Lepisosteus oculatus: one gene and its partner. The protein of the gene in region 1 interacts with the protein of each later gene in a biochemical or structural test. Links are inferred from orthologs where the notes say so. Each region holds a gene or a part of one and is shown on either strand. Other genes may lie near its edges. The genes, in order: mark3a and kinase suppressor of Ras 1.

What was found.
Region 2: of the proteins of mark3a (region 1) and kinase suppressor of Ras 1, one has a biochemical effect on the other in vitro, tested with the Homo sapiens proteins (2 studies listed by BioGRID). The link is inferred for Lepisosteus oculatus from reciprocal best matches to the Homo sapiens genes MARK3 and KSR1.

What each region holds. Positions count from the first base shown.
Region 1 is NC_090703.1:6,777,642-6,789,840, reverse strand, and holds the start of mark3a (MAP/microtubule affinity-regulating kinase 3a), read right to left. Parts: upstream 6,021-12,199; 5' UTR 5,162-6,020; coding exon 5,111-5,161; intron 4,110-5,110; exon of another isoform or gene 3,357-4,109; intron 1-3,356. UniProt on the Homo sapiens protein: Serine/threonine-protein kinase. Involved in the specific phosphorylation of microtubule-associated proteins for MAP2 and MAP4. Phosphorylates the microtubule-associated protein MAPT/TAU. Phosphorylates CDC25C on 'Ser-216'.
Region 2 is NC_090721.1:7,005,586-7,017,811, forward strand, and holds the start of kinase suppressor of Ras 1, read left to right. Parts: upstream 1-6,344; 5' UTR 6,345-6,464; coding exon 6,465-6,674; intron 6,675-12,226.

The DNA of each region.
Region 1 (12,199 bases):
CCTTAAACCCCACTATTAGCACAAGGAGGGAGGAAACGAGAACGCGTGCAGCTGGGACCTTAATCCGATTCACTTGCTTCTCGGGGGTTAACGCAAAAGGATTCTCTAGAAGTCCTCCTAAAAATCCTCCTCAACGCACCTAGCTTGATGTTTGTGGCAATAATACTGCTGTAGCTTAAAAAATTTTAAGAGATTTTACCAATGGAAAGCCACGCTGACTATCTTGGGTGCAAAAGTCAGGCAATGGAGAAACAAGAATTTCCTGGGAAGTGTCTCACACACACCCTCAGTTCCTTTCAACATCGGGCGGCAAAAGATCCCACCTCACAGGCTCCTGACACATCCAGCAGGAATTGGGACAAAACAAATGCTTCTGAAAGTCAGATTTAGTTTTTCAGTTTCAATTCCCCTGTGTAGATTCCCTCGCAACAACGTGCGCACCACGTTTTAGTTACTTCTCTAAACCCCCGGGAACAGATGTTGTAGAGAAAGACAGTGCTCTTTGGAGCTCTGTAATGCTGTATTTAAGGGTTTTGGCCTATCTTAAATTTCATTTCAGTAAGAAATCAGATCATCATTAGGTCATCAGAATCAGTGGTTATAAATAAAGCTTGAATTTGTTTTTTTTATTTTTAACACCAACCACAGAGCACAGCACAAGAACAGCACTGGTTTTAAAAAGCTTACAGTGTATCAAAAACACACAGGAACCGATCAAATGCTAATCGCCGACGTCTGCAAGCCTCTAGCTCTCCAGCCAGCCTCTATCAATTAAAAAAGGACACATTCTCAAATGGAAATCTAAAGTCTACTTGGAGGCACTAACATATTAAATCATAAAAGTAGATGGGGTTGAAGTAACTGACTGATTCCTTCCTTCACAATTGGTTTTGCCTCAAATAAAACAAAACAAAAAAAACAAATCAATCTCTCACAGTGCTTCAGTAAGAACCAGCTCTGGACTGAAATTACTCTCGGCCCCTTCCGGAAAAGGTCATTTCTGGGCCCTTTGACAGAGCCACAGAAAAACCCACTCCACCAGCACCTCCCAGATACCGTTTTCCTGACTAATCCCGTTTGAATGGGAACAGTCATCTTCTCCTACTCAGTCTCTGCTGCAGTGATCACTTCACAAAACCCTTCAATTTCCAGGTACTTCCAGTTTAGTGGCAAAAACAGCCACACAAGCATCATACAGTGCCTACACTAATTCGTTCTGATTCAATCACAGTTATTATTACTTAAACACCTCATTTTAACAGGACCTTAATGGCCTTATTGTGTTAAATCTGCCTTTACTGAAGCATTTCCCAAACCGAGATGTGTTTTTTTTCCACTTCAGTTAAAGTTCCCATAAAAACATTTCTTAGGGGATACAAGAGTATGTATCCCCTTCTGTCGGCTGGTGAGCTGCAGCCCGTGAACAGGTTCAACTTAAAATGTCAAAGACCTGTGTGTCTGAAACACTTCACCTGATTCAACAAGCCCTGATGAATCAACTGAACTGACGGGACAAATTAATTTCCATGCCAGGCTGGGCTGCCCCTACCCTCCTCCCAGTTTGCGGGGAATTTCTAAAACCCTTCCAATGCAGACATTGGGAACAGTGCACAGACATGCCTGCTTCGGAAATGCCCGATTTAGAAATTCGGGTTAATACGCCTCAACACCTGCACCAAATGAGATCGAAGCAGGGAGAACTCATCTCTAACGCGTAACACAGTGCTGCAGTTTTAAAATTCGATAGAGCAAGCTGAAAGGGAACAATGGCGTTTAGTTTAAGGTTGGTGTACCGATGGTGTACGATGCTCTCCCTGTCCATTGTGTGCCCTGCGCAGGCCTGTACAACCCCAGCCCGACTCAGCAGAGCTCTCCCAGAACCTGGGCAATGAGCAAGGCCCAGAACTCCTGGGTAGCAGGACAAGGGGTTCTGAAAGGGCCACTGCAAGAGTTAGTGCTTTTCAGAGGGTTCGGTCTCTCACCTGAAGCATGACATCATCAATAAGGCACCGTGTCCTGTAGAGTGACATGACAGTGACTCTTCATCTAAGCCTGCTGTACTGCTCATTTCAAGTGCATAATTTCTCATTGCAACGCATACACACTCAGTGTCCATAGTTAACGGCACCATGATAATTCAGCCCCAGGTCACTCTTATTTAAGTAAATTACATCCTATAGTTCTAAAAACAAAATCACCGCATCCCAACCACTTAAAATCATTTTTGTGAAAGTGTCACCGATTTTTGTTAGTGCAAAAGCCTACCATTACGACAACATTGCATAAAATTAAGAGTACTGGTATGGAAAAAAAAACAGCTAAATTCTAGAGTACCTGCAGTTAAGCTAACATGATTATAGTTAAAATAAAAATCACTACCTTAGCTAAATGCAAGTAACCACCCTACACTGATAAAGTAAATGCCTGTCATTAAACAATCTAGTGTAATTTAGTACTCAGGGAACCAATGAAGGAATTTCTCTTGACAAACCACAATCATTAATAGCAACAGCCCAGCATCATCACCATCCTGCTGAAGCATCATACAAGCTGGCATTCGGCAGATATCCTGATCCTGGAAGCAGGAATACAGTGCTCAAGCTGCATTAGCTCAAATGAGTAAAACTCACAGAACTTAACTTTACAATTGCACGTGATGCACATCTCTCACGGTCACAATAAAAGAGGACTGAAATGCTCAAGGGTGACATGACTGAGGCACGGAGGCAGCGCCAGTCAGTATCATAAAACAGCCTAGATCAAATGATCCATAGATCAGCTCAATACTGAGACACCTACAGATCCCTGGGGTGGATTCGTTTTATAGTAACCTCTTCGTTCATCTGCGTTAGGCCTAGAGTTTGCCGTTTCACCTGATCAACAATATTTCCTGATTCAGGCAAAAAGCAACATGACAAGACTGGAAAGAAAGTGCTTTTCCACGTTACCTTCAAACGGAAAACTCCAAAGAGCCAAAAGCCGGCATGGCTAGGAATCCTGTTCCCAATTCTCCCCCTTCCTGACATTCCACTGGATGGAAATAAAACCCCACCAGAAATCTATTAATCGGGCTCTCTGAGGAAGTAGAAAACCCAGCGACCGAATCAAGGGATCGCACACGCTCTCAGACTGTGCCAACCCAATGTTTCCAGCATCTTACATTGGCTCAAGGAAAACGTTCCAACTGGAAAGGAAAAACAACAGGATGTCGAGGCGCATTTTTTCTACAGAAGCCTCTCGTTCCGTAGCCTGACCGGGACCGTGCTGCGCCAGCCTCAACAAGTCATTTGCATTAAAACAGCTGTTAGGGAAATTAGCTTTAACCAAATACATCTCACCTTGGTTGAGACAAGCAAATAAGAAATAAAAGCACCGCATCCGCCAACAACGCTACCTAACGGCACCTTCATTTGATACAAGCGTGTCAGCTGAACGACAGAGCTGTATCTCTCCCAGTGCAGACAGCTCATGTGTGTATATGCTGTAATATCTCAGCAGAGCATCCTATAGCCAAACACAGCAACTGATCTCCCTCTTTGTAACGCAGACAGACGGCGAAAAGACTTCTGCTTCGTTTGTTTTTTTTTTTAAAAGTGCAAATAAAACACACGGATGTGTTTTATTTTTGTCAGCAAAACCAACACACCGTCGAGTATCCGTCCTGAATACTTTTTTGTACCAGTTTACTTGTCGAAAACGAATGAATTCAACATCCTCTAAACTTCTGCCACAGAACCTCCCTTTGCCTCAGCCTCTGTCCGGCGCGACAAGACAGTGAAGACACAGATGGGATTCACTTACAATGGAGATCCGATGCCTTTTCACCAAGTGGCTCCCCTTCATTTTGTCATTGGCACTCTGAATGGCATTAAACCAGACTGCCTTCTCTCTTTTGTGATGGAAGCTCATTGATCTGCTCTCTCTGCCTGTCTCTTGCTCTCACACTGTCGCTGGGATCGGTGAGGAAGCATCCCAGCACCTGTCACGAACCACCCCGGGGGTGGGCACTAAACACGCTCCTCATTGGAACAGCGAGGAGAAGAGGCCACTTCCGATCCTGACACCCACTGAGGGTGCCCCCCCACGCCACAGCCCGCCCACGCCGACAGGTAAGACAGCCAGCCTGGGTTCAAGCTCAGAGGCAGCAGGAGCAGGAGGAGTTGTTTTCAGCCGCCAAACACCAGCCGCTTCAAGGCTAGCTGGATGTTGGGGTGCTATCCCCTCCGGGTGGGGTGGGGGTGGGGGTGTACCACTTGTTGCTGTCGCCCCACTCATTACGAAACAGGGGACCTGTCGTGCTCTGGCCCGGCAACTATCGCTCTCCGAGCGGGCGAGGTAACCTGAGGGCACCTCCTGCACACTCTCTAATAAAGGACACCACCACAGTCCCCACTCTGAAAACAGAAAACGGAAGTTCCGCGAGTTTTTTTTTTCCTTTTAATAGGGTCCACGCTGAAGATTGGTGTGTGTTTTTTTTTTTGGGGGGGGGGGTGGACGACAAACGTGTGAAAATCCTCTTTTTCGGGCTGATGGGGGGCGGGAGCGGACGAGAGAGAGAGAAGAAAGAGGAGTAAAAGATGATTCACCCATCGTGAGCTCCGGCTCTGCGGGGACTGAGCCTCCACACTGCGCAGCCGCCGGCTCCGGCTCCCAGAGACGGGGGATAATTACTAGTTATCTGGCGTGTTAGCCCGTCTCGATGGAAATGTCATATTTAAAGAAACCGATACTCCGCGCCCTAAGTTTGAGCAACAAGCGGGCTATGCGTCAGTCATTTTTTTTTAACACACACCAGCTCCGGCTCCCCCCCACAAAAAAAAGGGGGCACCAGGATACCAGGAAATACATCATGAGCGCTCTCGCACAAGTGATGATACTTGGGCAGCGGTGATCGTTGAGGAAAATAAAACACGGTACAATCAAGTAGGGGAGGTTTCTTCTAAACGATTCAAGCCTCCCTAAGCCAGAGCATCCTCCGACAGCAACCCCACAGCCGCCCTGAGCAGTACTGGGAGGACTGGGGGGGACGGCGAGCAGCGAGCCCAAGACCACGAACCCCACAGTGACAAACGCTGGCCAACACGTTGACACACCGTAGCGCACAACTTACATTTTCAGTGTCCCGCTCGTTGACCGTGGGCAGCGGTGTTCGTGTGGACATGGTGCTCGTCGGCGTGTCGGCCGTGCAAGTTTCCCGTGCTCGGTCTTTTGCTTTTGCAGTCCCGTAGTCAGAGGGCTGAGAGGAAGGCAGTTCTCTCTGGGTTTCTGATGAAGACCATGGATTCCACGGTGGCGTGGGGAGGGGGAGATTTTTTTTTTTTTCAGCGGCAATTTGAACCCAGCTTCTCCCACCACCAGCGGATGATAATTCTTGATTGGTTTCCCCCCGGTCGCAGCCTAATTAGGGAAAAATACCGAACCGCATTATTCTCAGCTAAGGGGACACCCGAAAACGCCGGCTCTGAACACCTAAAAAAAGAGAGGTGGTGGTGGTGGTTGGGTTCTCGCAGGTCACGGGAAAAATAAAAGAAAATTGTTTCCGTACAAAGCCCGACGAAAACACTTTCATGTCTCCGCGCTACCGTCCGTTTCAGGCGAGTTGTCCGGACTCTCTCTTCCCCCTCCAGACGCACAGACGCACAAGCCGAGCCTTGTGCAGTTTTCAGCCCACCAAAAAAAAAAAGTCAACACACACGGAACACCTTGCAGGCCCTCCTGCACTGCAATTCAGACAAGGAAAAGGGGATGGGAGAGAGAGAGAGAGAGAGGAGGGTGCACGCCAAAACTGTGACCGGCCCGCCTGTGACCCCCCGGGGGCTGTAGGTCCGCTGAGTGCTCGGCCCCCAAAGCACAACGCCCTGGGCTTCAAGCGTGATGTCTAGCTGGAAAACCCGCTGCCGGCTCGATTCCTCCCATCTCCCCTAGGTGAAGCTTTGCTTGCTAGCAGGATCCAAGATGGCTGCCCACTGGCTGGAGAGCAACAAGCCAAGCCCTGGCACGACGAGAGGAAGTGAGGAAACAGACTGCCTTCGGAGCTTATTGGCGCTGCTGCCCGAGCAGCGCTGTTTGTTGTTGCTAGGGTGATTATTGGAGAGAGAGAGACAGAGGGAGGGAGAGTTAGAAAAAAAAAAGATATGAAGAATAACTGCACAAGACATCAAGACAAGGCTTGTTACTTCCTTTCTCAACAGACCATCTTCAGTCACACAGTTCTGTGCCCTCCTCAGTCCTGAACGCAAGCTGCACTGTAAATGATGCGTCATATGATCAATAAATACCCACACTGGTACATACATTGTATATATATTGTAACTTACAATAGATATGTTTCTTCGCCTAATGTAGGTTCGTCCTTTTTTTTTTAATTCTCCCAGTAACTTAGCTCCAACATACAGAGGGCTTTTACACGTATTCGTCGCCATGCGTTATGCGTTATAGATTATATAAATTTAGACTCATCGACTTTTTTTGTGTTTGTTTTCTGCAGCTATTCTACCTCGTTGGAAGACAGTTCAGAATGAACTAGTGAGAAACCCAGACCCAAGCTCCTTCATAATAACGATAATATTGTGAGTAACCAATACGTGATGCGCCGGCTTTTTTTTTTTACCGAACAGAGATGGCACAGGTAAAGTCACGGTGGTGATGAACATGAGCTGTCATTCGGGTGGGTCAACAGGGGGTCCGGCTGTGGAAGTCACAGGCGTGTGGTGTGTGTGTGTGTGGAGGCTGGTGGCGGAGCTACACAAGCTCTGCGCTGGTTTGCACATGCTGTCCGGTGGGATTCTGGCCTGGGCAAGCACATGCCTGTCCACACTGCTCTGAGCCCCAGGTGCCACACATCGCCTGGGCCTGCGCCACAGACGCTCGGGGGGGCCCACGCCTGGAGCACGCAGAGTGTGCATCACGGGGTTCGATGTACAAGAAGGCTGATGTTGTGTGAGCAGGACGAGAGGCTTGTCACACTCGGGGTGAGATCCCAGGACCTGCCCGATGTCAGGTTACTGTCGGTCAGTCCCGGTAGAGTTCTGAAACAACTAGACCCTCCTGCAACAGAACATCATACTCCCACATCCCTTTAGTTTGGTCTGTTGTACATAACCAGTCCTTGATTCTGTCGTAACCCCTGACCCCGAAGCCTCCCAGCAGATCACATGCCAAAGATACACAGCAGGGGGGTTGGAGATGGCCGGGGTGTGGGTCAGAGACAGTCTCACAAGCTTCGAATAAGACCCCTCCCATCCGAGACAAAAGAAGGCATTCAGCTGTTACAGCGACTATCTAACTGGATTTCCATTAAGAAGAACCAGCTTCCCTGCATTCTATCACCGACTGTGTATTTAAAAGCAAACTGACGAGCGATATTTACAGGCTTTCCCTCTCTTTGTCCAGCTGTCTTTCTACTTATAGTGTTATCATTGTTGTTGATGCTATGGTCATTTTACAGGTGGTAGATATTGGTACGTTTGAATCAATGTTTTTGAGTGGAACCAAGGGGTCTATTTTCCCAATGATAAAATTGCCCTACTACACATCTAATTCCCCTACCACAGAGTGGGCACAGAGAAAATAAGGCCTTCAGGATTCTTTACACCAGGCTAAGCCCAAGGCATTACAAAAGTCCCACACAAAAGTGAGTGTATTATTTCCTAAACTCGATAACACCACGTTTTACTTCAGCTCGGAGCTCACTGCTGTGTCCCTGCCCGTATGAGAGAATTGGCGAGAAACAGAAACAGTTTAACTATAAAAAACATGCCTGTTCTTTATACTGTTGTTACTTCCCCTTCCTGCAGAATTAGAAAGGTGTATAAGATGTCCTGTCAAGTGTTTTGCAAGCTGACAGTTCTTTGCTAATTCACATTAACAGGAGAACAGTCCTGACATGACTGGGGCCTTAGGAATGACATGGCTGATGCTGTACATGGACACCGTCTGAAATGCTGTGAACAATAGTAAATAAAAGAGTCAGAAAAAGGACAGGGTTTTCCTGAGGAGCGATGCTGGCAGGCCCGAGCTGCAGTGTGTACACCCCAGTATAAACATTTGCACACTTTGGACCAGATGACATTTTCATCAACTTCCGCTCTGCATTCGCCACCCTTGGATGAAGGGCTTCTTTCCTGTTTCCGCTGAAGATCCTTCATCTCCTTGTTTTCCAGGCAGGGAAGAGTCGGGATTCCTGGAAGGAGAACAGAGCAGCCTCCCTCTCTCGGCTGCGGCTCTCCTGTTCTCAGGGTCCGCAGGCCTGCTGCCTGCCCTGCTGGTGGCCCTCTCTGGGGGTGTGGGCAGTACCGGTCCAGGGGGAGGGAGGCACACAAGCAGACGGGCTGCCAACTTGCCACGAGCACAAGGATGCCACCGCGATACCCAGTCAGCTCCTGAGAGGGACACAAACTGACAGGCATCGAACACTTGGTGGCTGGTGAGTCAGGAGACAGAGATATACGGAGATGGATGTACAGCTAACAGAACTGTTCCACAGACCTCCTTCCAGGGTTACGTTCAGGGTACCAGTCTGAGTTCAGGGTATGAATACTGATTAGTTCTTGTCGCATTGATGAGCCCTAATAAGGGTTAAACAGCTGTCCAGGGCTACTAACTGTGACTTAATATACAGTTGTGTGAAAAAGTGTTTGCCCCCTTCCTGATCTCTTCTTTTTTTGCATGTTTTCCACACTGAAATGTTTCAGATCATCAAACAAATTGAAATATTAGACAAAGATAACACAAGTAAACACAAAATTCAGTTTTTATTATTAAGGGAAAAAAAATCCAAACCTACATGGCCCTGTGTGAAAAAGTGATTGCCCCCTAAACCTAATAACTGGTTGGGCCACCCTTAGCAGCAACAACTGCAATCAAGCGTTTGCGATAACTGGCAATGAGTCTTTTACAGCGCTGTGGAGGAATTTTGGCCCACTCATCTTTGCAGAATTGTTGTAATTCAGCCACATTGGAGGGTTTTCAAGCCTTAACCACTTTTTTAAGGTCATGCCACAACATCTCAATCGGATTCTGGTCAGGACTTTGACAAGGCCACTCCAAAGTCTTCATTTTGTTTTTCTTAAGCCATTCAGAGGTGGACTTGCTGGTGTGTTTTGGATCATTGTCCTGCTGCAGAACCCAAGTGTGCTTCAGCTTGAGGTCACAAACAGATGGCCGGACATTCTCCTTCAGGATATTTTGGTAGACAGCAGAATTCATGGTTCCATTTACCACAACAAGTCTTCCAGGTCCTGAAGCAGCAAAACAGCCCCAGACCATCACACTACCACCACCATATTTTACTGTTGGTATGATGTTCCTGTTCTGAACACACCTTCCAAAAAGTTCAACTTTTGTCTTGTCAGTCCACAGAGTATTTTCCCCAAAAGTCTTGGGGATCATCAAGATGTTTTCTGGCAAAACTGAGACGAGCCTTTATGTTCTTTTTGCTCAGCAGTGGTTTTCGTCTTGGAACTCTGCCATGCAGGCCATTTTTGCCCATTCTCTTTCTTATGGTGGAGTCATTAAAACTGACCTTAACTGAGGCAAGTGAAGCTTGCAGTTCTTTGGATGTTGTTCTGGGGTTTTTTGTGACCTCTTGGATGAGTCCTCGCTGCGCTCTTGGGGTAATTTTGGTCGGCCAGCCACTCCTGGGAAGGTTCACCACTGTTCCATGTTTTTGCCATTTGTGGATAATGGCTCTCACTGTGGTTCGCTGGAGTCCCAAAGCTTTAGAAATGGCTTTATAACCTTTTCCAGACTGATAAATCTCAATTACTCTGTTTCTCATTTGTTCCTGAATTTCTTTGGATCACAGCATGATGTCTAGCTTTTGAGGATCTTTTGGTCTACTTCACTTTGTCAGGCAGGTCCTATTGAAGTGATTTCTTGATTGAGAACAGGTGTGGCAGTAATCAGGCCTGGGTGTGGCTAGAGAAATTGAACTCAGCTTTCCAAAGATGTGATAAACCACAGTTGATTTATGTTTTAACAGGGGGGGCAATCACTTGTTCACACAGGGCCATGTAGGTTTGGATTTTTTTTCCCCTTAATAATAAAAACCTTCATTTAAAAACTGCATTTTGTGTTTACTTGTGTTATCTTTGTCTAATATTTCAATTTGTTTGATGATCTGAAACATTTCAGTGTGACAAAAAATAAGATATCAGGAAGGGGGCAAACACTTTTTCACACCACTGTATACAGTACAAAAGTTTTAATTAGACGTTTTAAGATGATTCCTTTTACTGTCATACGACAAGAGCTAATTAATTAATGGAGGGAAAGGCGGATGGATAGATCACCTTGCAAAATGTGAAAAGAATACAGTCTCTGGGTAAAAATGACAAATGTTTCTAGAAGATCAAATCAGGCACTAAAAGTTTCCTAGTCTTGTTGTGAACAGAATATCAGTCTTATCAGAGTGCCGTACAGTTCTGGTAGCTCTTGGACAGGGATAACCATTAAGAAAAACATCATTGCAGCTCCATTCTTATCAGACAGCTGGCTGTGCACACAGCTTCATCCAGATGTGAGGTTGCTATGACAACAGGAGTCTCTTCGTGAGGGGATGAAGAAGAGGCTCTCCTGGAACAACAATGTTTTCTTCACACACTGGCTAATGTATTTTGCACGGCAAAGCATGATGTGCCCGGGGGAGAATTTACTTTCAGCTGAAAAGAAACCCCAAATCCAAAAAGAACAATCTAGGGAGAATATCTGAATCACCATCTTGCGGGAGACAACTGTTCAGATGTTCATGTGCGAGGCATTTTAGCACTATGAAAAAACTGCAGAGGAATATGGCGAAATTCCTTATTAACAAGCAGACTAAAAAACTGAAATGTGACGTCCTGGCTTCAACGTGTGCAGCGTTCAGCAGTATTCTCTGCAGTTTTTGTGTTTAACCACCTTCTCTTGCTCTCTCTGTCTTGCCTTCTGTTTCTCAAGGGGGGATAGGATACGCTACTCCTCCCACGCTACATTTCCTGTGTGGCTCAGAGGCTTTTTTCACACTGAAAGGAAGAGCAAAAGAGAGACACAGAGAGAGAGAGAGAATGAGAACAGTTTCTCGCCGGTGAGTAAGACCTGCTAAGGGATGAATCACCTCAAAAGTACAGTGGGGAGCCTTTTGTTTTTTGCTAAACAAGAGAACCGAAAAATTACGAAACACATACGGGCTGGGCTTCCACTCCCGAGACCTGTGACACCATGGAGAAAGAACTGTAGTTCAGTGGATAGGAAAAACGAGGAGTGGCCCTGGCTAACACATCAATTACATTGAATGGTGACCTCCTTTCAATTTCACGAGTATTTTTCGCCTCGGCTTCGGATAACCATACATATGTGAGCACGGTGCCCCCTAGTGGCGCACAAGAACCATTTGTAAGGAAAGGGCAAACCCACATGTGGAAATTGTCTTTCATTAAATTCTGCTACTGCAGCTTTAATTTCGCACATAATCATTTGATCTTCTTGCTTGTTCAGTTGTCTGTTTAACTTGTTGTGCCCAGACAGTGGGGAATGACACTATCCCCTATTTCCGCAAAGAGCTTTTTATATTCTGCAGAGGGCCAATTGGCTACATTTCAGGCAGCTCACATAAGATGAGGGCAGTTCTGAAAGTCAGAAATTAGTAAAGGGGTTGCTACCAATTACAGATCCCATCTGAACATTTAAGAGCTGAATGCAATTTTTTTTTTTAAATTTGCCCTGAACAGGAGACTGAAACCATTTAGTCTGTGATGAAGAACACAGCTGGAGCAAAACTTGCAGACAATGTTCCTCCAGAATCACGACTGGGAATCCCTATCATAGGAGAAGGGCATTGCGTCCTCCATCAGGTATCAATCATTTAAAAAACCTTAATACTAATAAATGCTTACACTTATATAGCTCTTTTCTGGACACTCCACTCAGAGCGCTTCACAGGTAATGGGGACTCCCCTCCACCACCACCAATGTGCACCATCCACTTACACAAACCTTTGAGATGAAAAATACTCACCTGAACTTTAGCCTTGGGTGTTAAAATTTCCACAAGTGGACAGAAGAAGGAGTGACTCATACTGTCTGTGCCACTGACGCCTTGCTATGAATAATATTAAAGCATCTAGTGATTCAACATCACATTCATGTTAAAATGAATGAGACTATTCAACTCTTTAAAGCCTAATTTCCAAAATCATGTAAATATGAAGAACTAACCCAC
Region 2 (12,226 bases), on another chromosome or scaffold:
CGGTTGTAAACAGAGTGGTATAAGGAGAATTCTGCTCCCTGGCCCCTTGACCAGAAGTGTGGTAAAAAAACAACAGATATCCCTGTCTCCGTCTCTGTCTTATTAAGATATCAAAGAGCATGCCAGGAGAGAACAGCCTCATGGGATACCTCACATTACCATCCAGTGCTATAAAACTCTTCCAACTTTTTCTTTCAACAAGAAGTACATCTTTTTTTCACCTAATTGTGATGGAGCAAGCTGAGGCTTTGTTAAAACCTCTTCCTTCTCTGAAGTAAATTGGACACACCTGCCTTGATTGATTAATTGGACTGCTGTGCAGAAAAGGGACCATCTGATTGGCCTGGTCCTAAATTGGGACATTCCTCAGGAGTATCAGCAGTCAACTGCTATAACAGCAGACAGGTGCCAAGGGTAGGGTGTGGTGTCTAAGCTGAGCCTGGTGGAGTGTGTTGGGGGTTCCGGGGAATGAAAGTAATGAGTTTGTATTGGCAAGGAAGAAGAGAAATGGAGAATGTGGGAGTTTGGCAGTGATTTGTGTGTTCCAGCTCTCTCAGTGGAACGGAACACTGAAGAGTTGTACCACGTAAGAAGGGAAGCTGGAGATCTTTTTGGAATGAATACCACTGTGAAGGACTTGTTTTTTGGGATTGTGCAGGGTTCTCTGAAAGGGGACTATTGTTATGTCTTAGGAGCCTGGTGGGGTTATCTTGAAATACTCATTCACTTTAGGAGTGCTATGGTGGTTCAGGGCTACAGTCTGTTGGAGGTTTTCATTCCTCACTCTAATATACTCAGGATGAAAATGCACAGTTAACAGTGCTGTTCAAAATCTCCCTTTCTCCTGCTTCTGATCACGTAACAGGCAGCAGTCCAAGATTTTGAATTTCTTCACATTTTTTAGATGTGTTTACAAGGAGAGTGAGAACTGGAACGAAACATCGTTCCTGGAATCCACGATCAAGTTGAAACCACTAGCCAGTAAGCTTGTTTTTTTTCCTACAAAATAACTCAAATTAATCGTTAATTCTAACAGTTTCAAACAGTCTATTCGGCATTTATATAATCATGGTCTTGACTAACGCCCAGCTCATACAGCGCTTTACCAAGAAGTTCGTACTCCATGCTGCTGACGCAGTTCCCCTTTAATGTAGTTCTGCTATTTCCTGGTTACCAGTGGTCAGTGTTCCAGTAAAGATATTGACTGGTTTGCCTTATTCCAGTGAGCTGGTTACCAGCGGTCATTGTTCCAGTAAGATATTTACTGGTGTGCCTTATTCCAGTGAGCTGGTTACCAGCGGTCATTGTTCCAGTAAGATATTTACTGGTGTGCCTTATTCCAGTGAGCTGGTTACCAGCGGTCAGTGTTCCAGTAAGCTATTTACTGGTATGCCTTATTCCAGTGAGCTGGTTACTAGCGGTCAGTGTTCCAGTAAGGATATTGGCTACTGTGCCTTATTCCAGTGGGCTTCTTTCATTTCACTGGCACAATGAGAGGCAGTGAGGTTTTATGCTGATTCAGCCCCTGTCACTGCTGCAGATCTCTGATTTGTGCTGTGCTCCATGCCTCATGAACTCCCTGTGTTTTCCTGTCTTGTGGTTTCCTGTAATGTAGAAAGAATCAGATCTTGCCAGGGGGAGGAAACTAAAAGAGACATTCTTAGCACTGCAATTGCTCAGGAACAAAGAGGAAGTCTGTTTCCAGAAGCAGCTTTTGTCAAGTGCTGGCCTTTGTATCTGGGCTCCCTCAATTTTGGGATTTGCTGTCAATAGCATTGAAAAAGTCACACGAAAATCTATGGAGCTCTAACATAGTTTGTCTCCCCTTTTCCGAATAGACAGACATGGAAATTATTCATTTTGACTTCCAAATGAAGCGAGTGCAGTAGACCTATAGGAGCTCCTGTATGTGTTTGCACATCTGATATAGATGTATTTATTGAAGCTGTTATGCATTGCTTAAAGTGTACCAACTACACCATTTTGAATTAAATGCAAAGGTGAGCATGTGTTCAAATACACCATTATTAAAAGTATGTGTTTGGTGAAACATAGCCCTGAAATTGAATGACCTGTATGCCTGTGCTAAATTAAATGTGGGGTGTGTGGTGGGATCCTGAGATTGCTTAATGCAAATGTGTGCATCAAGGAGGAAAAATGAATGAAAGTAAAGAAAGAATATGGGGCATGTATGATAACAAAGAACACATAAAGAATAAAAAGCACCACACATATGACCAGATTCCAAAGCGGTTCGGAATGCTAATGGAAGGAAGCTCTTTGTTTTTGGAAGAGCATCTTCTCTCTATGCTGTAGTGCAGTTTCCTGCTCTGCAGTCTGCCTTTGTTCCAGCAGTGCCGATACTCCTCCCACAGAAAAAACCCTTCATTAAGAGGCTCACTGACACCAGGGCCTGGCAGTGGTACCTGACATATGCGGACTGATCGTGAGACACTAGCCAGGTTCCTGCTGGAAATGAATACATTTTCTTTGTGCACCATGAACTTGATTATCAGTAACTGGACACATGTGGTCTAGTGCAGATTGTGTCAGCACAGCCTTACTGTTCCAACCCTCTCTGAACACTGCTTCTCTAGAATCCGTTCCGTGAAGAAGAGATCACAAATCCTTCTCACTCTAGTGTTTCAACTGTATTTGATCTTGGAGTCTGGCAGGAATTTAAGTCCAGATCCAGGACCAAAAGTCATTCACTCACACAGCGCTCAGCCCCTGCCCCTGATATGTGGTATTACCCCAAAATCAGAAGACTTCAGTGTCTGAGGGAAAGATTAGTATCTGGTATCTTATTCGAACCTTCAAACAAAAAACTTCTCCCATGCATCTTCAAGCTCAGGTTTATCCTTGCTGTGAAACCCTTGTTGCAGAATTAGTGTTTTTCATCCACTTTGACATTTACCCTCTCCAAAGTTAGTGCTGTTTTGGGACAATCTGTGTGATGTGTACAACTCAAATAAATCTCCCGGTCGGCCTCTGAGAGAGAACACAAACTGGGCTTTGTCTAAATACTCAGACGCTCTGTTGTAGTTTCTTTTAGATTAAGCACGTTCACTATGGACACTTTGCTTGCCGAAGCTGTCTGATAGGAAAAGACTACGCTTGTTCTTTTTTCCCTGTGGGCTGTTCTGTAATGCAACCACAGTTCAGCAAACGCTTTTAGATGAGCCATGTGCTGTATACACTCATCCCAAAGCAAGGCGCTGTGGATGTTCCTCTCCCCATGGCTGAGAGTTAGGAAGTATCACAGGACTTCTTATGAAACATCACTGGTCGATAACATAATAATTATCATTATGGTCCAGGTTAGGATACCTTGTACTTTCTGTCTACATAGTTTGCACTTTGTTTAGGAGTCACAGAAACAAAATAACATCTTTGCTTCTAAGACGTTATTGGGAATCCTAGGACTTTCACTCCTGCTCTGCACATCCTTTTAAAAAAACTCCAGTACATTGAAATAGTTTCATGTATCCTGGAATCCCCCTGAAATGTTTTCCCCATTTCATGCCTGTTGAAACAACTTGTTGTTTCCTGCTGCAATGCTGACCAGGCTATGTGGTCTTTTATTAGTTTGTTAGAGGGGGATTTGGGGATTTTCCACCCTCCAGAGGCCTTAGAGGTTCCAGAGATGCAAGGCCATCTTCAAAGGTCTTATCAGGTTTTCCATGGCTAATATTGAATTACTGTAAGTGCAGCAGAGCATAGAGAAGCCAAGGCAAAAGCATATTAAACCACAGAGGAGTGTGATCAGACATTGTTCGGTAGGCGTCCATGGAAGAGCAAAGTAATTTACTGTGTAACTATTCAGTCCCCTATCTCTCCTACAGCCCCTCTGGCCCTCTCCTCTGCCACTTTCTGTACCCCCTCTCTGCTCCCGCACTTTCCGAGCATCCTCCTGCCCCTCCGCTCCTCACTTTTGGCATGAACTGCCCCCAGAAATCAGACCTGCTCAGGCCGTGACCCCTTCACCACCTGCTGTGTTTAGACAGTTCCTGTGGACTCTCAGGTGCCGTCTCCCGCATTTCCCGGGCTGGCTGTGGGGCTTGTTCGTTACGCCCGTTGGCTGTAGACGCAGAGCTCGGGCCCCCAGGCTGCCTCCACGCTGTCTGAGTGCCGTTTCTTTTTTGCCTGGAACTACTCCTCCAGGTTGTGTCAGCTATCTTTTTCATCGCGTTTGCTTGTCATATACTGTTTACGTGATCGTTACAGTACATTACATATGTATTTTGTAAGCTGTCATGGATAAGGGTTAGGCCGGCATTGCAAATAAATAAGACCGATGATGATACCAGCAACAACAGTTAAATGTAATTCATGCATGACGTCACCCAATGAGGAAATGCAGTTGTGCTTGAGTATTGAGGAGTTGGGCAAAAAAAGCTTTGGCTTCACTTGCTAAACTGAGGATGGACCCCCAGGCCGGAGCAGGAGGAAGTCAGGACCCCCTGCAGAGGGAGGAGTTACCCAAGGGGCAGCAGCACAGGTGGAGACGGAGAGGAGGAGGGAAGCAGAATGATGTCTGCGAGGAAGAGGGCGGGGCTTCCTGTGGTATTTATAGAGTTTTCAGGAAGTGATCCAAGTTAGGAGTAGAAGAGGTCGCTGTCATCCCTCCTGGCTGCCAGTTAAAAAGCCCACTGGCAGTAGCACAACGATGGGAAAGCACTGCGGAGATTGACCATGGTCACGTTAAAGGATGCCCAGTGCTCCTGGAGAGAGGTGTTTTTCAGTTCAGCTGCTGGCAGAGAGGGCTGGTTCTTAGGCCTGGGTGTGCAGAATGACATTACCCTGTGGAAAAGCCCTACAACACAAGGGATGCAGTCAAGGGCTTTAAATTGTTAGTCAACATTATAATAATAGCATATCTGCCAGATTGAGCAGATGTGTGTAGGAGTGTATCAAAGCGGTGTCTACAAGGCACAAGGCATTGTGGTTCTCCAGCAATTTCAGTAGGTGTATTGTGAGTGTTTTGGCTGGAATCGATCCTTAAAAGACAGCTGCAGCACGCCGACCACGAATTCTTGCTATGGGGCAGGAATTCCAGATTAATCCTGGGCTCGCCGCATTCTGCAAGCATCGTGCTAGAGGATTTATGTTTATTGAGGGATCTAAAAGATTAGACAGTAGATATTTTCTAACAGACTTACAAGGTCATCGACGCAAACAGCAAGAGGGGGCTGGCAGAAGCAGGGGCTGCAAGTGGGGCTGTTAGATGTCAAGGGTTTTTCCCAGTCGGCTGTATTAAAGCAGATCTTTTATCGCCTTTATTTAAAGGCGGGAGGTTTGCCAAATCTCCCACGTCCACTTACAACCTCTTGGTCATTATAAACTGGATATTTCGGTGAATTAAAAAAAAACAACTAATTCATGTACTGCCTGCATTTTGGCATTATGTCTCTGCTCCCTGTCACTTTTTCTTTCTAAACGTGTGAGTTTAAATATACACGGAGTTGTGAAAGGGTGATAACTGAACTGAAACCCAAGGCGATGACGCAGCATGAGGATAGTAATTAGAAACCTAATACGCACAAGCGCCTGGATTTCCAACCCAGTGATCGCATGCAGCCGAACCTGCACAGCTGATCATTATACAGTTCTATATTCTTCTGTAGGACTTTCTTTGAGCTTACTACCACCCGCGTTCGTCAAAACAAAATCTTGACAGTATGCAAATTCCGTAAAAAGTCACCCACTGTCTTCGTCTTAAATGTTTTAGCCTTAATAAGAATATACTTCTTTTCAACTCGACTGCAAAATGAAATTGAAGAAGAATCCGGGGGGGGTGGGGAGATGAAAACCTCTGAAGAAATTTGTGAGCGACACTAATTGTAGAAAATCCTTTGTGATGGTAATAGAATACGGGCGTTCTAACTCTAAATAAAGCGTTTATTCATTTGGTTTGTTTCATTTAATAAATAAACCAAAATGTATTTGATTTCTATCTTGTTTTTTTAAAAAAATATTTTTCACTTCTACATTCGCTCCAAAGCTTCAAAAGAGAGAGACCCCAAAAACTACATCTCCCAGAGTCCAACGGGAGGCATTATCTTAGCAACAGCTGACAGACGGTAAAAGCCGAAGTGAAAAGCTGCCAGCGAGAGAGCGGAGTCAGCAGGGCGGCTGAGCTTCGCTGCTGCTGTCAAACTAACACACAGCAGGACTTGGGGGCTTTTTTTTTTGCTTGGACTCTCGTGTTTGGCTATTTCCACCTTCAAATTGATGATACATGTAAATATTTCTTCGACTTTAATTCGGGCATGTGATTAAGCCAGGGAATTATTTTTTAACCATTTGTGTGTGTGTGCGCGGGGGGAAATTATTCAATTTTTCGTCTCTCTAACCCCCCAAACTACCCCCCCTACCCTTCCTCCTCCCTCCCCCCCCGCCCCCCACCACACGCACACACACACACACACCACCCCCCGCAAGCCGTGCCCAAATGCCGAGGAATGGACACCGAGTCTGGCAAAGAGGGGAACATGGTGGAGAGTGACGAGGTGCCGGAGAGGGCGAGTGGCCGCGACGAGGCGATGGCCGCGCTACAGCAGTGCGAGCTCATCCAGGACATGATCGAGATCTCCATCTCCAGCTTGCAGGGGCTCCGGACCAAGTGCGCCGCGTCCAACGACCTTACCCAGCAAGAAATACGCACTTTGGAGGTAATGAGCGAAGCCGCAGACCTTTACGCACAGCAGTTACAGTGCAGAGCCCAGTGCGCTCTCCTGCAGGAGCTGTCTCAGCGCTTCATAGTCTCGCCTCGCCTGGCTCGGGGCTTTGCGCTGCAGTGTTTCAGTAATGTTGTGCAAGGTGATCGAAATGTACGTTGAGCTGTACTTTGTGATCTTTCCGCCCTCCGGAGGAAAACAAATCCACTTTAAAGCACGTCATCTCGGCGACTTCGTGTGTGGTAGAGAGAGAGATAGGATAGGTGATTGTTGGTGGATCTGAAATAAAATACCAGAAGAAGGAGAAAAAACAAGAATGCGCTTCGAAAATATAGCGTCCCTGCGAAGTTGAGTCTTCTGTTTTGTTTTTGTGTGACAAGATGAAGGTTGCGCATCTCTGCCACGGCACAGTCATTTGTCAGTTCGGTTCTTTTGCGCAAAAGACTTGCCCCGCTTTCATAAATAGAAATCGCTTCTTCTGTAAATTAAAACCCGCCCGGTCATAAACTGTAGAGTTGGCTTGTGCAAGGGGCTTCACTCTGAACGCGTTAAGAGGAAATATTAAATTATCCGGCTATCATCAACTCTCAGTAGCCGTCCGGTAATCTTTAATTGAAGGAGATATTCTTTTATTTAAATTCGTGACATTTAGGCCCGCAGAGTCAATATCAAAGGTCTCTCCGGTTTTAATTTATTAATGGAGCAATAACCTATTAATTTAGATACTGGAGAAGCCTCTCAGGAGAAAACGATGTAAATATGTCAGGGCAGATATACACGTAGGGGAGGTGGTGGTGGTCGGGGCAGGTGCTGGTTTGGATCAGGACAATTGCTGTATCACAGTCGGCGCAGTTGAGCTATACGTGATCTTAGCCATTACATAGGCTTAGTAAGTATATGCAGTTTGGACCTTGGTGAAATGCGGCGCCGGTTCGTTTTTATCATCCCGATGTTATGTCTATGTTGTATAAGGTCTCGAAGAGTCAAGTGGAACAGTTTGTTAGTTGGTTAATTTCTGCTGTAATTATTGTTATAATTGTGTATGGACGTCTTGATGGTCTGTAATGGGCTGAACCTCAGGGTTTTACTGGTATTTATGTCTTACCTAATGTTTTTAGGGAAGACCTGCTGCAGAAAAAAAATAGCTTTAATCAAAAGTAGTTTTGTGTAAAATCAAGCCATAGAGATTAATTCTACAGCATTGCTGTCCAGGAAATTTATGCAGGTATTCTTTCAGATGTGAGTTCATTTATTAACCCTCTACCTGCTTTCTGAGCATAAGGGAGTCGACAGCAATTTTTGCAATTGTTTTAGAGTACTGCATGAGTGCCAACACCCCCTCGCACACACACAAACACAAAATAACAAAATATTTCGACACACCGTGGTCACAGCTGACCGAGCTTCTCAGAAAGTCCCAAATGAGGTGGATAAATTCCTGAAATATCCGCAAAGATGATTCCAGGAGCGCCCCCCACACCGGACTCCAGGACCAGAGCCCGTTCTGAGCCTGCTCAGCAGAGGCAGGAGCAGGCCGGTGGAGAGGAGAGAACGGGCGAGTGAAACACGGCCCTGTTGCGACTGCTGTTTCACGGAGATGTTTCAAAGGCAAATGAGATAAATTCCTCAGACGAACAAGCCCGCGGCAGTGGGAGAGCACGGTCAGTGTACCCTCTCCGTTTACGCTCTGCTCTAGAGAGGTTGCGCCTGTCTTTAAATACCCGTCGCCGAGGTTTGCGGAGGATACAGTGGGGTTCATCGTCCCGGAAAGCAGTAGGGTATCCGCAGGGGACTAGACAGCCAGTCCTCAGGGCTTCTCCAGCTGCCGCGGTGCTGGCCCCAACAGGGCGAACCTTAACTCGCTTCTCTCGTCAGGGCAGCACCCCGAAAATCTTGATGTGGGTTGGCAGGAACGCGGCTGAAACAGAAACGGTTAAAATTGGGTGGGTGGCCTTGAGCTGGTCTGAGCCCACCTGGGGCGGGCAGACGGGAGGGAGTCATCTCAGTGGGACCTGCCTGCGCCCAGGTAACTGCAGTAGCCCCTCCAGAAACTCCTGACACCCTCCTTGAGCACTGGTGTTGTTCCAGGGGTCCTCATTACCCCCATGCCAGAAAAGCCAGACTTGGCTCTGGACAATCGAAACAATTTTTCGCCCCATCTCCAACTTACCCTTGCAAAAAATCTAGAACGTGCTGTTAAAAATTCAGTTTAATAACTACCTCATTGAAAATAATCTTTTTGAACCCCTCCAGTCTAGCTTCTGACAACGTCTTAGCACAGAAACTGTCCTGGTCAAAGTCACTAACAGACTTCTAATAGCTTCTGATTCTGGTTTTCTTAAATGCTTTGAGAAGCCACCTTTAAAGGCGCTATATAAATAGTCTATTATTATTATAATTAGTGGTTTCCACTGTGTCAGTGTTGGGGCTGGCTCAGAAATGCCACTAGGGCATGTTGAGGGTGCTGAGATACTGGAGCATTCCTTCATAACAATAGTCTGCAGCTCCCACCAAATATTCCTCTAACGGGAAGGCCAGGCCAGTTACAGGGAGAGACTAAATATTTAGGCATTTAAGTGTGATACTAATTTATGGTTCTAAATTCTCTTCCATTCCCAAGATGCATTGAGCTTGAAAGTGACAGTGTTGAGGTGGGCTTTACTTTGGCAACACTAATGCCTAATTTGGCTTTACTGTACAAGAAAAATGTTCGTTTAGGAATAAAAGGAGAAAGTAGTCAGACTAAAGATCTGATGAAAGGGCTACTTTTTTTAAATGGTTGGCACTCAGACATATTTCAGATATACTGCAAAGTCACATTAATTAGCAACTTAGGAATATCAAGAGTGGGTGTTTGTGCTTTGCTGTCTTCCCAGAATGTCTGTCCCATTTTCTGATTTGACATAATGTAAACTTGAAGCTAGATTATTAGGAATAATTTAGTTTTCTTGAAGTGTTCTTACATGAAAACAGGGAGAGAAAGTGTCACAATGATTTCCGGCAAAGTGTGCCTAAGCAGTTTTTTTCCCAGTGGGTTTAGTGAAGGAGTGATTTGGCCTAAATCTTTGACCAAACAGTTTTAGAATTAAACTGTAAAATAAAACATGTTTTACAGCATAACCTCGATTTTGCCACATTGATACATAGGAGAAAGTTGGGAACTGGGATTTACCATGTAAAACTTGGGTTATGAAAGCTAAACACGAAAGCACCTTATGCTTTACATTCCTGAAGTAGACCAATTGTAAGAACATCATATTTAAAACCATTCCAATTATATTCTTCAATATAAAATATGCTTGTTTCTTTTAGATATGCCTAAAAATGCACTGAAGCACCCCCAGAAACTCAACTGTCTGTATTTATCTAAGAATTGCTCAGGTGGAGTTTGTTTGTCCCTGTACTCGTTTTGTATCTGTGTTGAAAAAAGATCAAGCCTACCCTCTCATTTTGTGTTTGTTTTGCCTGGTTTGTTGCTTGAAGTCATAGAGGTCCCAACATAGCGCTTAAGACATTGAAGAGCAGGTGTCACGTTGCCTGATGGAAAGCAAGATTTGTCGTAAAGAAATGGCTAGCAGCCTTGTCACTTCCAGGACATTACAGATGGTTCTTTCTGCCAGTGCTGTAATTCATTGCCTATGAATGAGCTTGTTTCCCTTGCTGCTGAGAATCATATGAGGAGACAGGAGGATCAGCAGCACCAAAGGCTTTGCAATGGAAGAATGGAACGGAAGGGTTAAGGCTTACAATTGCTGTCAAAAAGTTTCAGCCAATGGGCTTCGGCCAAAAAGCACATGGCCACACAGAGAGTGGATCAGCCTCGCTTGTCCTTCAGTCTCTTGTCAGTGCAGACCTTCTGAAAGAGCGATCAGTGACCCTTGGTCTAGTCTGTGTGTGTTTACATGCTGTGTTGGCTATGTTGGTCCTGCCATAAATCATGGCTCTTGTGGATCAAGCCAAGTTGGAACACTGTACTTAAAACTTGAATTGAAAGTCTGTTAGGCTGCTTTTACCTGCACCAGTGAGCCTTCATGTGATGCTGCAAGACTCAGCTGAGCATACACCAATTCTTCCTTGTCTTGTAAGGACTGCCTACATGCTGAACCATAATGCTTGTTAGAATAGACATACAGTACAAATAAGTTATGTTTGGAGTTCTTTGTTTATGAAGAGATGTTTAATGGACATTAGGAGAATACTTGTTTAGCTAAGGTGTCCCTTTTGTTTGCTCTAGGATTGTCATGTACAAACATGACTAGTAATGGACAGATGACTTCTTGTTAAAGGAACGTCTTCATTGCCTCTTTATGATCTGGCCTGGTGGCATTTCTGGGGATGTGCAATTGGAGGAGACCCATATATGTTCACTCGCTTGGGCACATTTTGCTTTAGGGGACGAAATGAATGGGGTTGCAGTGGGAAAGAGAGATAGTCACACGAAGGCAAAGCCGTTACTAAAGCATCGACCTTGCAGAAGGAACACTTTCTGTGAGGGGGCTGTTCTTGTCGCAGGCGTGACGAAAGGTCTCGCTGTTCCTCGTCCTGAAGATGTCACTTTCACTTCTGCTTCCTGTTCATGCAGGAAGTCCATCTCCTACCTGCATTCCAGAGCCCACCCCACAGGGAAATTCCTGCTTTTAGAGACAGGAAGTGATGTGGGCAGTGCTGTAGAGGGATGTGCAAGTCAGCCTCCTGGCCTGACAGTCAAGCTGAGTTGAATTCTGCATTAAACCTCCCACTGTCAGCCGCAGTGTGTTACAAAATTGTAGGCCGAACCATCCCGCCTGACCTGAATATGCAACTCTTGCTTCAGAGCTCTTGTGCAACTGATCACTGCTTTCACCACCTGCGTATGTCACTGAAATGCAATGCCGCACTGAAAGCAGAGTCAACAGTTAATTACTGTGTTTCTCCAGGTTCTGCCTGCTCCAAGTTGCTGGGCTGGGGAATTTAAAATCAGGATTTTCCGTAATGCTTTGACACCTGTACTGGAAGAGGAGTTCCCCTTGACAGAATATATTCATGTGTTTCCTTTTAATGGATACTGCTTTACAAATCAACAGGATCCAGATCTGCTCGAGAGGTGTGTCGTAAAGTGAGGAGCCCAGAGGCAGTGTTCAGTGAGCAGGATTTAAACAGGTGTATCCTTTTGTTAAGTGCTATAAACAGGACATTTAAAAGATTCAAACTCCTCATAATTTAAGCTGCAATATATTGAAAATTGTACAGCTGCTTTGTACTATTAAACTACACTATATCATCTAAAAATAGAAGTGCAGTTTGTTGTGTTGTGCATTATAATGTAAACTTTCCTCTTGGTAGTGTTCATTCTTTTTGTCTGAGAGGGTACATAGACTGGTAACGGAATGCAAGTCAACAGGTGTCTCACATACATGCAACACAGTGAGATCTAATTCCCCAAAAGAACACCAGACAGAATGAAGGTGGAGAACAGCACCCAGCTGTTGATTCACGTCTGGTTTTATTGCTTTGAATTGGGCCTATTTGTTTGAGAGTGCTCTTCAGCGGACTGAAGAGAGGCTTGA